Linked DNA regions of Ovis aries. The protein of the gene in region 1 purifies or fractionates together with the protein of each later gene. This does not show direct contact. Links are inferred from orthologs where the notes say so. Each region holds a gene or a part of one and is shown in the gene's direction. Other genes may lie near its edges.

Region 1 (6,090 bases):
GTAAACTATCGACTCTGGGTGGTAATGATACCCCAATGTAAGTTCAACAATTGTATCAAATGTTGTTTATTGTTTTTGGTGGAGAATGTTGATAATGGTGGAGGCTATGTATGAATGGGGGTAAGGATTCTATGGGAAATCTCTGTACCTTCTGCTTAATACTGCTGTGAACCTAAAACTTGAAAAATAAAGTCTATTAAAACAAGAAAAAAGGATTGTGGAAGTATGTCAGGCTGCTTATTAATAAAAACAGGTATTTTTCTGGATTTCACTATAAGGTATTAGTTGGCTTCTTTAAATTGGTGTTTTGCTGTGATTTCTTTTTTCCCATTCTAAATAAATATTTCATATTGTAACTAACTTACTGTTTGTAATTTTGTAGTGTTTTCCCTAAAATGGGCTTCCAAAACTGAATAATTCAAATACCACAAAGTCTGCCCCTGAACAAAAGATGAAAAAATGTGGATAATTATTTGAGCCTAAGACCCACATGTATTTTATATAATAATGCAGAGTATTTTTGCTCACTTTTAATATATTTAAAAATTTTCCATTACTGCAATTGCTATGTAAATTGGAACTTTATTTTGTTAGAAATTTTACCATCATCTATTCATGATTTTGAGAAGCAGGGTCCCTCAGGAACCACACCTAAGTCATTCTCCATTTGTAAATATGAGGCTCACAGTAATCTGATATGTATGTGCCAAAATTGGAGATCTTTCCTGCCGTGTTACGATTCATGGGGTTGCAAAGAGTCGGACACGACTGAGAGACTGAACTGAAATGAACTGAACTGAGTATATTGATATCTTCTAGTACTCTTGTGCCTGAGCAGTTAAAACATTAAAATACATACTATTATTTAACTTATATGCAGAGTACATCATGAGAAACGCTGGACTGGAAGAAACACAAGCTGGAATCAAGATTGCTGGGAGAAATATCAATAACCTCAGATGTGTAGATGACACCACCCTTATGGCAGAAAGTGAAGAGGAACTAAAAAGCCTCTTGATGAAAGTGAAAGAGGAGAGTGAAAAAGCTGGCTTAAAGCTCAACATTCAGAAAACTAAGATCATGGCATCTTGTCCCATCACTTCATGGGAAATAGATGGGGAAACAGTGGAAACAGTGTCAGACTTAATTTTTTGGGGCTCCAAAATCACTGCAGATGGTGACTGCAGCCATGAAATTAAAAGATGCTTACTCCTTGGAAGGAAAGCTATGACCAACCTAGATAGCATATTGAAAAGCAGAGACATTACTTTGCCGACTAAGGTCCATCTAGTCAAGGCTATGGTTTTTCCTTTGGTCATGTATGGATGTGAGAGTTGGACTGTGAAGAAGGCTAAGTGCCGAAGAATTGATGCTTTTGAACTGTGGTGTTGGAGAAGACTCTTGAGAGTCTCTTGGACTGCAAGGAGATCCAACCAGTCCATTCTGAAGGAGATCACCCCTGGGTGTTCCTTGGAAGGAATGATGCTAAAGCTGAAACTCCAGTACTTTGGCCACCTCATGTGAAGAGTTGACTCATTGGAAAAGACTCTGATGCTGGGAGGGATTGGGGGCAGAAGGAGAAGGGGACGACAGAGGATGAGATGGCTGGATGGCATCAATGACTCGATGGACGTGAGTCTGAGTGAACTCCGGGAGTTGGTTATGGACAGGGAGGCCTGGCGTGCTGCGATTCATGGGGTCACAAAGAGTCAGACACGACTGAGTGACGGAACTGAACTGATTTTATTTTAAATTAATTTTATTTTTCATTTCTGTAAGGGAAGCATATTGCGTGTGTGTGTGTGTTAGTCACTCAGTCGTGTCTGACTCTCTGTGACCCCATGGACTGCAGCCTGCCAGGCTTCTCCGTCCGTGGAATTCTCCAGGTGAGAATACTGGAGTGGGTTGCCATTTCCTTCTCTAAGGAATCATATTGGTATTATTGACATTACCTTTTGAGGTAGGTTATATCATCTGTAAATTTCATTTCCTTAAAGGGGTGTTCTAAAATATTTGCTGTGGGGTGTGGAGGAGCATGGGGTCTGAGGTTTAGTACCATCAGACTAAATAGTAGCAGGAACTGAAAATACATCACCGACTCAATGGCATCACCGATTCAATGGACTTGAGTCTGGGTAAACTCCGGGAGTTGGTCATGGACAAGGAGGCCTGGTGTGCTGCAGTCCATGGGGTCGCAAAGAGTCGGACACGACTGACCGACTGAACTGAACTGAGTTGTAATACTGACATTCTTACTGGTGACTTTCGTCTTTCCCAGGATTCCGAACACACCTGGGAGAAGAGCGATGTTTTTAAGAATGGCAACTGTGCCCAAAGGGCAGAGGTCCGAATAGTTTCACGTCTGTAGCGGATACATCTTCCTGTTCCCTGTCCCCGCACCCTGGCCATTCCAATCAGGCTAAGAGCTCCTGGAGAGATGGAATATGTGGTCCAGGGAGGGTGACAAATAACAATTATGAATATAACCGCGCGGGGGTCCTGGATAGAGAGCTGGGGTAAGACCAAGACATTTGGGCTCCCCATCCCAGTCAGCAAATGCATTCGGCGGGTATTCAGGCCGGCAGGGCTCCGGGCAGCAGAGGGCGCTGTGGCGGGAGCTGCGCTAGGCCCTCTGGCGCCTGGCGGTCTCTCGCCTCCTCCCGCGGCTTCCGGAGGGGCTCCCGCGCGCCAGAGGCGGCCGAGACATGGACCGCAACCCGTCGCCACCGCCGCCGAGTCGGGACGAGGACGAGGAGGCTGCGGCCGGGGGGGACTGCATAGGCAGCACGGTCTACAGCAAGCACTGGCTCTTCGGCGTCCTCAGCGGGCTCATCCAGGTGCGGAAACGCGCCTCGAGTGGGCTCCCCCTACTCTCCCCAGGCTGCCGCCCCGCCTCGGGCAGCCCCCCTCCTGCCCCGGGAGCCGCCGTCCCTTCGACGACCCCTCCCCAGGCCCGGCGGCCGGGCCTTACCCCTGGCCTCCAGGCTGTCTACCCGCGGACCCCAAAACTGCCGGGCGCCACTCTTTGTGCCCCTCAGTACAAACGGAAGTGTAACGGTAGGGATGCTGGAATGCTTTTGGTTAGAATGTTTTATTTTTACAAAATTTCCAAATATACGTGACCGTGTAAATGCATTGCTTACATGCAGTGCATGTGATGCGGTGGGTTTTTGCGCCCCTTTGCCGCTGTAGTTTCTGAAGCCCAGGTCGTAATTTATCTGTTTCGAGGACTTTCACTGAGGTAGAATAAATGGGCTTCCTGCAGCTCTAATGTCAAAAGCGCGGTTTGCCCTCCGTGACTTTGGGCAAGTCACGTAACCGACTTCTTTCCTAGTTTCTATAAAGTGGGGTAGTATTTGTATTATTGTTTATAGAGTTAAATAAGATTATGATAGCCAGAGAATGCTTACCGTAGTTTGCCTTATAGGAACCTCTCAATAAATGTGAACGTTCTTCTCATGTTTCCCTAACTTTTCCCTCTGCTTTCAATCACTGTCCTCCGTAGTCCATCTTCTGCACAGCTACCCGAATCATCTAAAAAAAAAAAGTCGTCCATGGGAGTTCTCATAGTTACTGTTGCCTACAGTGGAAAACTCCTATTTCTTAGACGGAAATCCAGGGCTCTTTGCAGCTTTTCCAGATTTATCTGCCCATGGCATGCTAAACTGCTCACCATTCCCCACACATGCTAGGCCTTTTCTTAACTCTGAACTCTTTGTACTTTTCTCTGTCTCCTCTTCTTCAGGATGACAAACTGATTTCCCCTCAGATTTAGCTTCAATATCCCCTCCTAAGAGAAGTTTGGGAAAGCTCCCAGACATAGGTCATGGATCCATCTTTTTTTCACGACTCTGTCCACAATCCAGTGGAATCACTTACCTTTTCTGTTGTGATTATCAGTTTATATGTCTTTTCCCCACTGGATCCTTAACTACTTGGAAGTAAGTAAGTAAATCTTATTTACCTTTATATTTCTACCCCAGTGCCTAGCAGCAGTATTTCCCCAAGGTGCCCCAGGTACTAGTTTTTTAAAATAAGCTTCTTGGAGAAGAAGGTACTTTGAGGATACTAACCTTTGTGACTTCTAAACGATTATGGGATAATATTACTGGAGGAGTGCTGTGGACAGCCTTTATTCATCTCCTTACTTTGTGTTTCTGAAGATGGTTAGCCCTGAAAATGCCAAATCCAGCTCGGATGACGAGGAGCAGCAGATGGAGCTTGATGAAGAAATGGAGAATGAAATTTGCAGAGTATGGGATATGTCCATGGATGAGGTATGGGACTGGAAATGAAGCTGAAAAGACTGTTGAGTAAGGAGATGGTGAATGCTTCAGTCCTTAAGTCTCTGGATTTTATCATGTTTTCACTAAATCTGTTGAGTTGGTCATGTGGTTTTTCTTTTTGATTTGTGAATATGAACTACATTGATTGATTTTCAAGTTACTAAAATGTAGTTTAGAAATTTCATGTATATTCATGAGAGAGATTCATTTCTTTTCATTGTCTGGTTTGGTACCAAGGTAACGCTGTCTTCACAGAATGAGATGGTAAGTTTTCCCTCTTCGCATTTCGGGAAGAGTTTGTGTACAGTTACTATCAATGCTTCCTTAAATATTTGGTGAAATTCACCAGTGAAGCCATCTGATATTGGGGTTTTCTTTGTGGGAAGATTTTGTTTGTTTTTAGTTTTGTGTATATATATATATATGTTACTTTTTAAAAAAATGAGTTTTATTGAGATACAAATCATTACCATAAAACTCACCATTTAGTGGTTGTTAGTATGTTCGGAGAAGGCACTCCAGTACTCTTGCCTGGAAAATCCCATGGATGGAGGACCCTGGTAGGCTGCAGTCCATGGGGTCGCTAAGAGTCCTACACGACTGAGCGACTTCACTTTCACTTTTCACTTATGCATTGGAGAAGGAAATGGCAACCCACTCCAGTGTTCTTGCCTGGAGAATTCCAGGGACGAGGGAGCCTGGTAGGCTGCCGTCTCTGGGGTCGTACAGAGTCGGACACGGCTGAAGTGACTTAGCAGCAACAGCAGCAGTATGTTCGGAGAAGGCAGTGGCACCCCACTCCAGTACTCTTGCCTGGAAAATCCCATGGATGGAGGAGCCTGGTAGGCTGCAGTCAATGGGGTCTCAAAGAGTCCGACACGACTGAGCGACTTCACTTTCACTTTTCACTTTTATGCATTGGAGAAGGAAATGGCAACCCACTCCAGTGTTCTTGCCTGGAGAATCCCAGGGATGGGGGAGGCTGGTGGGCTACCGTCTCTAGGGTCGCACAGAGTTGGACACGACTGAAGCGACTTGGCAGTATGTTGTGGGGAAGACTGTAAATTCAGTTTCTTTAATAGATACAGGGCTGCTCTGGTTACTTTGATAGTTTGTGTTCTTCAGGAAGTTAATCCACTTCATCCAAGTTATTGAATTTATTGGCATAGTAGGAGAAGGCAATGGCACCCCACTCCAGTACTCTTGCCTGGAAAGTCCCATGGATGGAGGAGCCTGGTAGGCTGCAGTCCATGGGGTCGCTAAAAGTCGGACACGACTGAGCGACTTCACTTTCACTTTTCACTGTCATGCATCGGAGAAGGAAATGGCAACTCACTCCAGTGTTCTTGCCTGGAGAATCCCAGGGACAGTGGAGCCTGGTGGGCTGCCGTCTGTGGGGTTGCACAGAGTCGGACACGACTGAAGCGACTTAGCAGCAGCAGCAGCAGCAGCAGTAGTCTGTTATTATCCTTCTAATATATGTAGTGATGGGTCCTTAATCTTCACAGATTTTTCTTTGTTGCTTTACTATTTTCTGCTTCATTGATTTCCACTCTGATCTTTTATTATTTCATTTCTTCTGCTTACTCTGGTTTAATGTGCTCTTCTTTGTATAATTTCTTAAGGTAGAAGCTGAGGTTGTTGATTTGAAATCATTCTTTTTTAATATAGGCATTTAACACTATAAATATTCCTCTAAATATTGCTTTAGAACTGTTGTACAGCTTCTGATATGTTGATATGTTTCATTGCATTTAGTTCAATTGATATTTTCTAATTTTCCTTAATTTTTTTTGGTTAATGA
Region 2 (6,127 bases), on another chromosome or scaffold:
CTGTTTGAAGTCGGCTCAGGAAACAGGTCACTCTAAGGGGTTGGCAGCCATCTTTGCACCATGAGGGAAGAGCTTGTCTGAGAAAGGAGTTGATGGAGCAGAGAAATGGAGAAAGGGAAACTTGGTCCAGATCTCAGTACTTTTAAGCCACAGAGGAAGGCTTACCTGAAGCCCTGCCCTGGACCCTGAGTTTTAAATTCCCATGTCTGCTGAAGCCAGTTTGGGTCTTGTTCTCTTTCATTTGCCACTGAAAAACTATGGATGCACAAGGCTAAAGTGATCCTCAGAGTAAGAGAGGAGAAAGTGGGCATTTGGGGCAATCAAGCACTCTGAAGAAGGAGTGACTGTTTAAGGACAAGACAAGAGAGGTCGGTCAAGGAGGCTATGCTGAAGTGACTGGTCATGAAGGGACCAGGTGGCACTGGGCTGGAAAAGGAGGGCTGGATCTAGCTTTAACATGAAAAGAAGAGGTGCACACCTGAATGGTTTCTGTCCTGGCTTCTACTTTAACACTACAACCTTCCCCTCAGGGATAACCAAGTCCACAGGATCCTTCCCTCTCTTACTCCCAAGGGAAATGATGCAACCAGTCATTAGACAGTAGCTGGTTTAGCCATGGAAAAGAGAAAGGGTTGTTGCAGCAGGTTCAGGGATTTAAAAAGGAGGATTAAAAAGAAATGAGGGAAGGGGAGTTTGTGATAGGAGGTGGGGGGAGAAAACTGCTAAAGAAAGAAGAAACCCAGAGAATAAGAGAACAGCATAACACATTGCTCTTAATAAAGCAATGGGCCCAGGACCAAACAGATATACCAATTCCCAAATCTGAAGCATCACTTACCAGCTGTCTTACTTCACCTCTCTAAGTGTCCCTTTCCTGTCTATAAATGAGCTTGAAAATTCCACCTTTAGTTGACCATGAGGCTCCAAAAATATCATATAAGGAAGCCCCTAGCAGAGAGGAGTGAGCATTCATTTCTCCTGGTTGTCGCATAGAATATAATGAATGAACAGCAGGAAGACAAGCAAGGAAGAGAGGAAAATGCTGCTTTACTTAAATTCTGACCCTCCTCTATAGCAAGGAGCCAGGGTTCACTCAGTACAGAAGCAGCACTTGAGGAAGTGAAAAGAAAGGATGACACTCAAAGAGATGGCTTCTGAAAAATGCCGACGTTTGCTTCCTTTTCTCTGCGTTGTGCCTGTTTCTCACGGAACCACTTAGTAAACCGAACTGAATCGGACTGACAATACTTGAGAATTTTCAATATACGGTGGGGGGGGGGGGGGCACTTAAAGAACAACGTATCATAACAAATCAAAACTTCCCCGAAGCTTGATTTCATGTGGCAAAGTGTGGCACCACTTCCAGCCTAATCTGAGCTAGCTGGGGCCTGCAGGACGTCTCGGATTAGAACGCCCGGGCCTCACGCACTGCCCCCCAGGCTGGGATGAGCTGGAGGCGGCAATCTTGAAGGCGCTATTGTTCACCCCTGAATTCTTCATCACTAGAGCCTGCCTGGCAATTAGCTCGGGGTTTGGCGGGGTCCGCCGGGGGTGGGGGTGGGGCTGAGGTTGCAGGGGGCGGGGGGGGGGGGGGGGGCGCGTGGCAGAAAGCAAATGTGAGAAACAGAAAGAGACCAGGCGGAAAGCCCCGGAGACCAGGTAGGAGAGATGGGATTCTGATTTGGCAGTGGCACCTGCTACCCGCTACTAGGAAATCATAGGATTGTTCTCGTATTTATAAGACACGTTATTGGTAATAACCATCAGTCATCTCTAAAAGGTGCACTAGCGCTCCGCCTGTATTATCCCCTCTAATCTTCTCAGCGTCTTCTAAGGCGTCTTACTGTCACCATTTTTGTAAGGTCACACCGTCGGGGAGCCCAGCTTTGCCCCCAGGCCGCCACGCTCGCGCGGGGAGGTGGCCGAGGCCTCAGGGAGCCGCGGAGCCGCCCTCCCAGCCAGCGGAGGACCGCCGGGGCGGGGCATACGCGCAGCTGCACCCTCACGACGGGGCAGGCTCAGCCGGCCTGTCACACCCAACAGCCAGCACCCCGGCTCCTTCTGCCAGAGATCCCGCAGCGGTGCGCGGGCGGCCCAAAAGCTCCACTGTCGCCCCCTCCTCGCTGTGCAAACCCGCACCGCCCGCAGCCCGGAGGAAGTCCATTCCGCCGCCGCCGCCGCCCTGCACGCCCGAAGTGCGCCCACCGCCCTGGAGGGGGTAGGGGGCTCCGCCGCCGTCATGCTGCCAGTCGCCTACGCGGTTCTGGCGGGGTTGTTGATGCTCCCGCTGCTGGTGAACCTCTGCTGCCCTTACTTCTTCCAGGACTTGCGCTACTTCCTGCGGGTAGCCGGCGTGGCCCAGCGGGCGCGCAGCAATGGAAAGCGCCGGCCGGTGCGCACCATTCTCTACGCCTTTCTGGAGAAAGTGCAGCAGACTCCACACAAGCCTTTCGTGCTCTTCCGCGACGAGACGCTCACCTACGCGCAGGTGGACCGACGCAGCAACCAAGTGGCTCGGGCGCTGCGCGACCACCTCGGCCTGCGGCAGGGAGACTGCGTGGCAATTTTCATGGGCAATGAACCAGCTTACATATGCCTGTGGCTGGGACTGATCAAGCTGGGCTGCGCCATGGCGTGCCTCAACTACAACATCCGCGGAAAGTCCCTGTTGCACTGCTTTCAGTGCTCTGGGGCGAAGGTTCTACTGGTCTCACCAGGTGAGCCTGGGGACCACCTCACCCTGGCACTGAGCTCCTTCTCTTCTTGGCAGCCTGGCATAGGGGTTGCGGGGAACGAGGGTTCAGATCGCAACTAGAGATGTAGAGAGAGGGGATGGCAACTCTTCCTCCAAACGCTAATTAATGGTCATTAGAACCTTCCGTTGTAGAAGCTGATCAAGCCAGATACTATGTGAATCACCGTACATATAGTGTTGCTGGTAATACTTACAACAGATAGGGTTGACTTTGTAGATGAGACCAGTCAGGCCAGAGAGGTGAAGCTTTATGTCCCAGATCACAGAATTGGGAGGAGGAGATTAACTAGATCTGTCTACCTCCAGAATTCAAGTTCCTAGCTGGTGCTGACAATATCTGCATTAAAATGCAGAGGGTCTAGAGTGTGAAGTCCAGAGGATCCAGAGAGACTGCTCCCTCTGCTCCTTGATTGACTGTATAATCCTGGGAAAGTCACTTTCCCTCTCCATATCTTGGTTTCCTCCTCTGTAATGGTCTTCAAGGCTGCTTCCAGCTCTCAAATTCTGTTAGCCTCCCTGGATTCTCACTGCAGAAAGAGAGAATCCACCTGATCCCCAAGAAGACTTTGATCCCCTGCTGCAAGCCCTAGTGAGCACTCATTACGTTTATAGCGACAGTGACCTTTGGTTCTGTAGTTGCCTTCTGCAACTTTTCAACAAGACTTAAAATGGTAACTTCATGCTCCAGTGGTGACCAGGTCAGGAAGAATCCAAGAATCTGTTACCCAAAGGACTGACTGGGTTTCCTATCCCAGGAAGCTTGTCCCTACACTTGAATAAGGACCAGGATTGCTTTTCACTCTCTCAGTAAGAGGAGGCCTAAACAGGTGTGGGCTAAAAGATGTGGAGAAATAGGGAGCCAGGAAGTCTCACCTTTCTGGAATGTCTTTCTTTCTGTGCCAAGCTCTATACTAGATGCTTTTATTACCCTGAGAATTAATGTATCGTTACCCCCTGTCACACAGCTGAAGAAACTGAGGCTTAAAATTCCAGGCTAGGTCTGTCTAGTTTCAGAGCTCATCACTCTCCTTATACCATGCTACCTTTCTCTTCACAAATGAAAAGTGTTAGAGCTGGAACAGACTAAGCATCCATCTTTTCTCCGCCTTCATTTCATAGTTGAGGACTCTGAAGTATGCTAAGGAGTTTGCCTAGTTACAGTAAGTCAACATGTCTATTCATTTTGGGAAGCCAGGAAACTACACACCTGTTCCATCAGACATAAAATAAATAATCCAAAAAGAAATGAAGGCTTTGTATAAAAGCTGAAAAGCAAAGAGGTAATTTTAAAGGCATAATCTGAGGTCTTTCCACGTGACATAGTGGTAAAGAATCCGCCTGCCAATGCTGGAGAGGCAAGAGATTCAGGTTCAACTCCTGAGTCGGGAAGATACCCTGGAGAAGAGCATGGCTACCCACTCCAGTATTCTTGTCTAGAGAACCCCATGGACAGAGGAGCCTGGTGGGCTACAGTCTATGGGGTCACAAGGAGTTGAACACAACTGAGTGCCTGAGCACGTGTGTGTGTGTGCACACACACACACACACACACACATATTATTTGAAAGGGATAGCCTTTTGAAGAAAATTCCCAACAATTTCTAGTTGCCTGGGAAGAGAGACAACTTCACTATTTAGTAACTGGAAGACTCTCTTAAACCTATTTACCAGTTGATTCAGAGGAAAGTTATTAACACAGTGATCTGGGTACCACTTCAGGAGTCATTTAAGTAATTTTACCTGCATATTATCCCAGGTCCCCTAGTGAGGGAGTCCAGGCCTGGGAGTTTTGTTGACAAAGAAGCTTCGATTTAAATGACTACACTGGAGTTTGGTTCTGTAATCAAATCAGAAATACAACCAGATATCTCCCTTTATGCCCAGGCAACAGTCTTCTGTCACTGAGTATTATGTGGTCAGCATACATAGATAGTGTAATGAAATTCCAACATTCAGATCAAATTTGAATGACTTTCCAGGGGACCTACAGCACTCTGACAGTAAACTGACCTTTGAGAGAGGCCACACATTTGAAAACCATTCTGTTTTTCCAAATCACTGAGAGACCATTACACCACATGCAGAATTGCACTCTGATCCAAAACAGTTACTGTCATGGGGGTAACAGAGTCCAAAGTTGCATGCTGATTAGTAAATGTGCCCATGTGCAAATGTGTTGAATGGACTGATTCTTCAAATTCTTTAAAGTTGGAAAGAATTTTAGAGATATCCTAAGATTAACAAGTGTGTTATATAACAAGTGTGTTGTTTATATAACTCTTAACAAGTGTGTTATACTGCAGTAAAAAGTTTAGAAGAGTCACTTTAATGAGTGGAAGAATCACCTGGGGAGCTCATTTTAAAAAACAATTTCCTGAGCCTCATCCCCAAAAAACATTGATTCAGCAGGACTGTGGGGGAGGCAGGAAAGTATATTTTTATAGCTAGCCCCATCCCACTCCTAGATGATTTGGAAGCAGATCATCTAAGGAATAGGCTTTGAGTCTGGTAATTCCCACTTTGTTTAATAGTTGTTTGTTTAAAGTTGAATGAACGAAGGCCCAGAGGAGTGATATCAATTGCCCAGGGTCAGAGAGAGCTGGAGACAGAACCTAATTATTTTTGTCTCACTTCTAGGATGTTTTTTTATATTCTATTATGCCATCTAAACATGGGACATAAAGATAAGAAGTTTTACAAATGTTGGAGGGGTGACAATTCAACAGGGTTTGATTCTTCACTTCAAATTTCAACCTCAGAGCACATGGGTTTCTTGAGTTTCAACTGTGTCAAATTCTGGAGTGTATGCAAAGGACTGGCACAGTGGTGTTTATGATGAAGATTGATCCCCTTATCATGAATTTGGGGGACTCTTCATAAAGTTTAACAGGGCTCAATCCTGTCAGGCATTTCAGTGCCCAATTTTTTTCATCAGAACTTACTATACTTAGAGAAAGCCAAAGACTCACAACACCTCCCCGCATCAATCAGAAACACCCATCTCCCGGAGAACAGGATTTTCTCTGTGTGGTGCATTTCAGAATCCTTATCCATAGAAGGCTCTAATGTAAGTAATCACATGGTAAAATTACCTTCAGCTATTGGAACCTCCGTCAGTGTTGTAGTTGATAGAAACCAATTTGTTGGGCCAGTATTTTTTTCAAGCAGTTTCCCAAAACAGGTAAGACAGAGAGCCATATTTAATTTCATACAACATAGAATATTTTTTTTAAAAAAAGAGTCCCCCAAATAGTGAATTTGCTTGTTTCCATTTATGCTAACATTAAGATTGTTACTAACCTAGCTCTTCTCCTGGAAGGATAACTCCTTCATTAGCTCACTGGCCAGGTCTACCTTGCATGGCTCAACCAA

Evidence for each region. The genes of interacting proteins can lie anywhere in the genome.
Region 2: the proteins of SAAL1 (region 1) and SLC27A2 purify together in Homo sapiens (co-immunoprecipitation; 3 studies listed by BioGRID and IntAct, with this or other methods). This does not show direct contact. The link is inferred for Ovis aries from reciprocal best matches to the Homo sapiens genes SAAL1 and SLC27A2.

What each region holds. Positions count from the first base shown.
Region 1 is NC_056068.1:34,149,294-34,155,383, forward strand, and holds the start of SAAL1 (protein SAAL1), read left to right. Parts: upstream 1-2,664; 5' UTR 2,665-2,705; coding exon 2,706-2,837; intron 2,838-4,163; coding exon 4,164-4,277; intron 4,278-6,090. UniProt on the Homo sapiens protein: Plays a role in promoting the proliferation of synovial fibroblasts in response to pro-inflammatory stimuli.
Region 2 is NC_056060.1:58,219,133-58,225,259, reverse strand, and holds the start of SLC27A2 (long-chain fatty acid transport protein 2), read left to right. Parts: upstream 1-2,056; 5' UTR 2,057-2,239; coding exon 2,240-2,717; intron 2,718-6,127. UniProt on the Homo sapiens protein: Mediates the import of long-chain fatty acids (LCFA) into the cell by facilitating their transport across cell membranes, playing an important role in hepatic fatty acid uptake.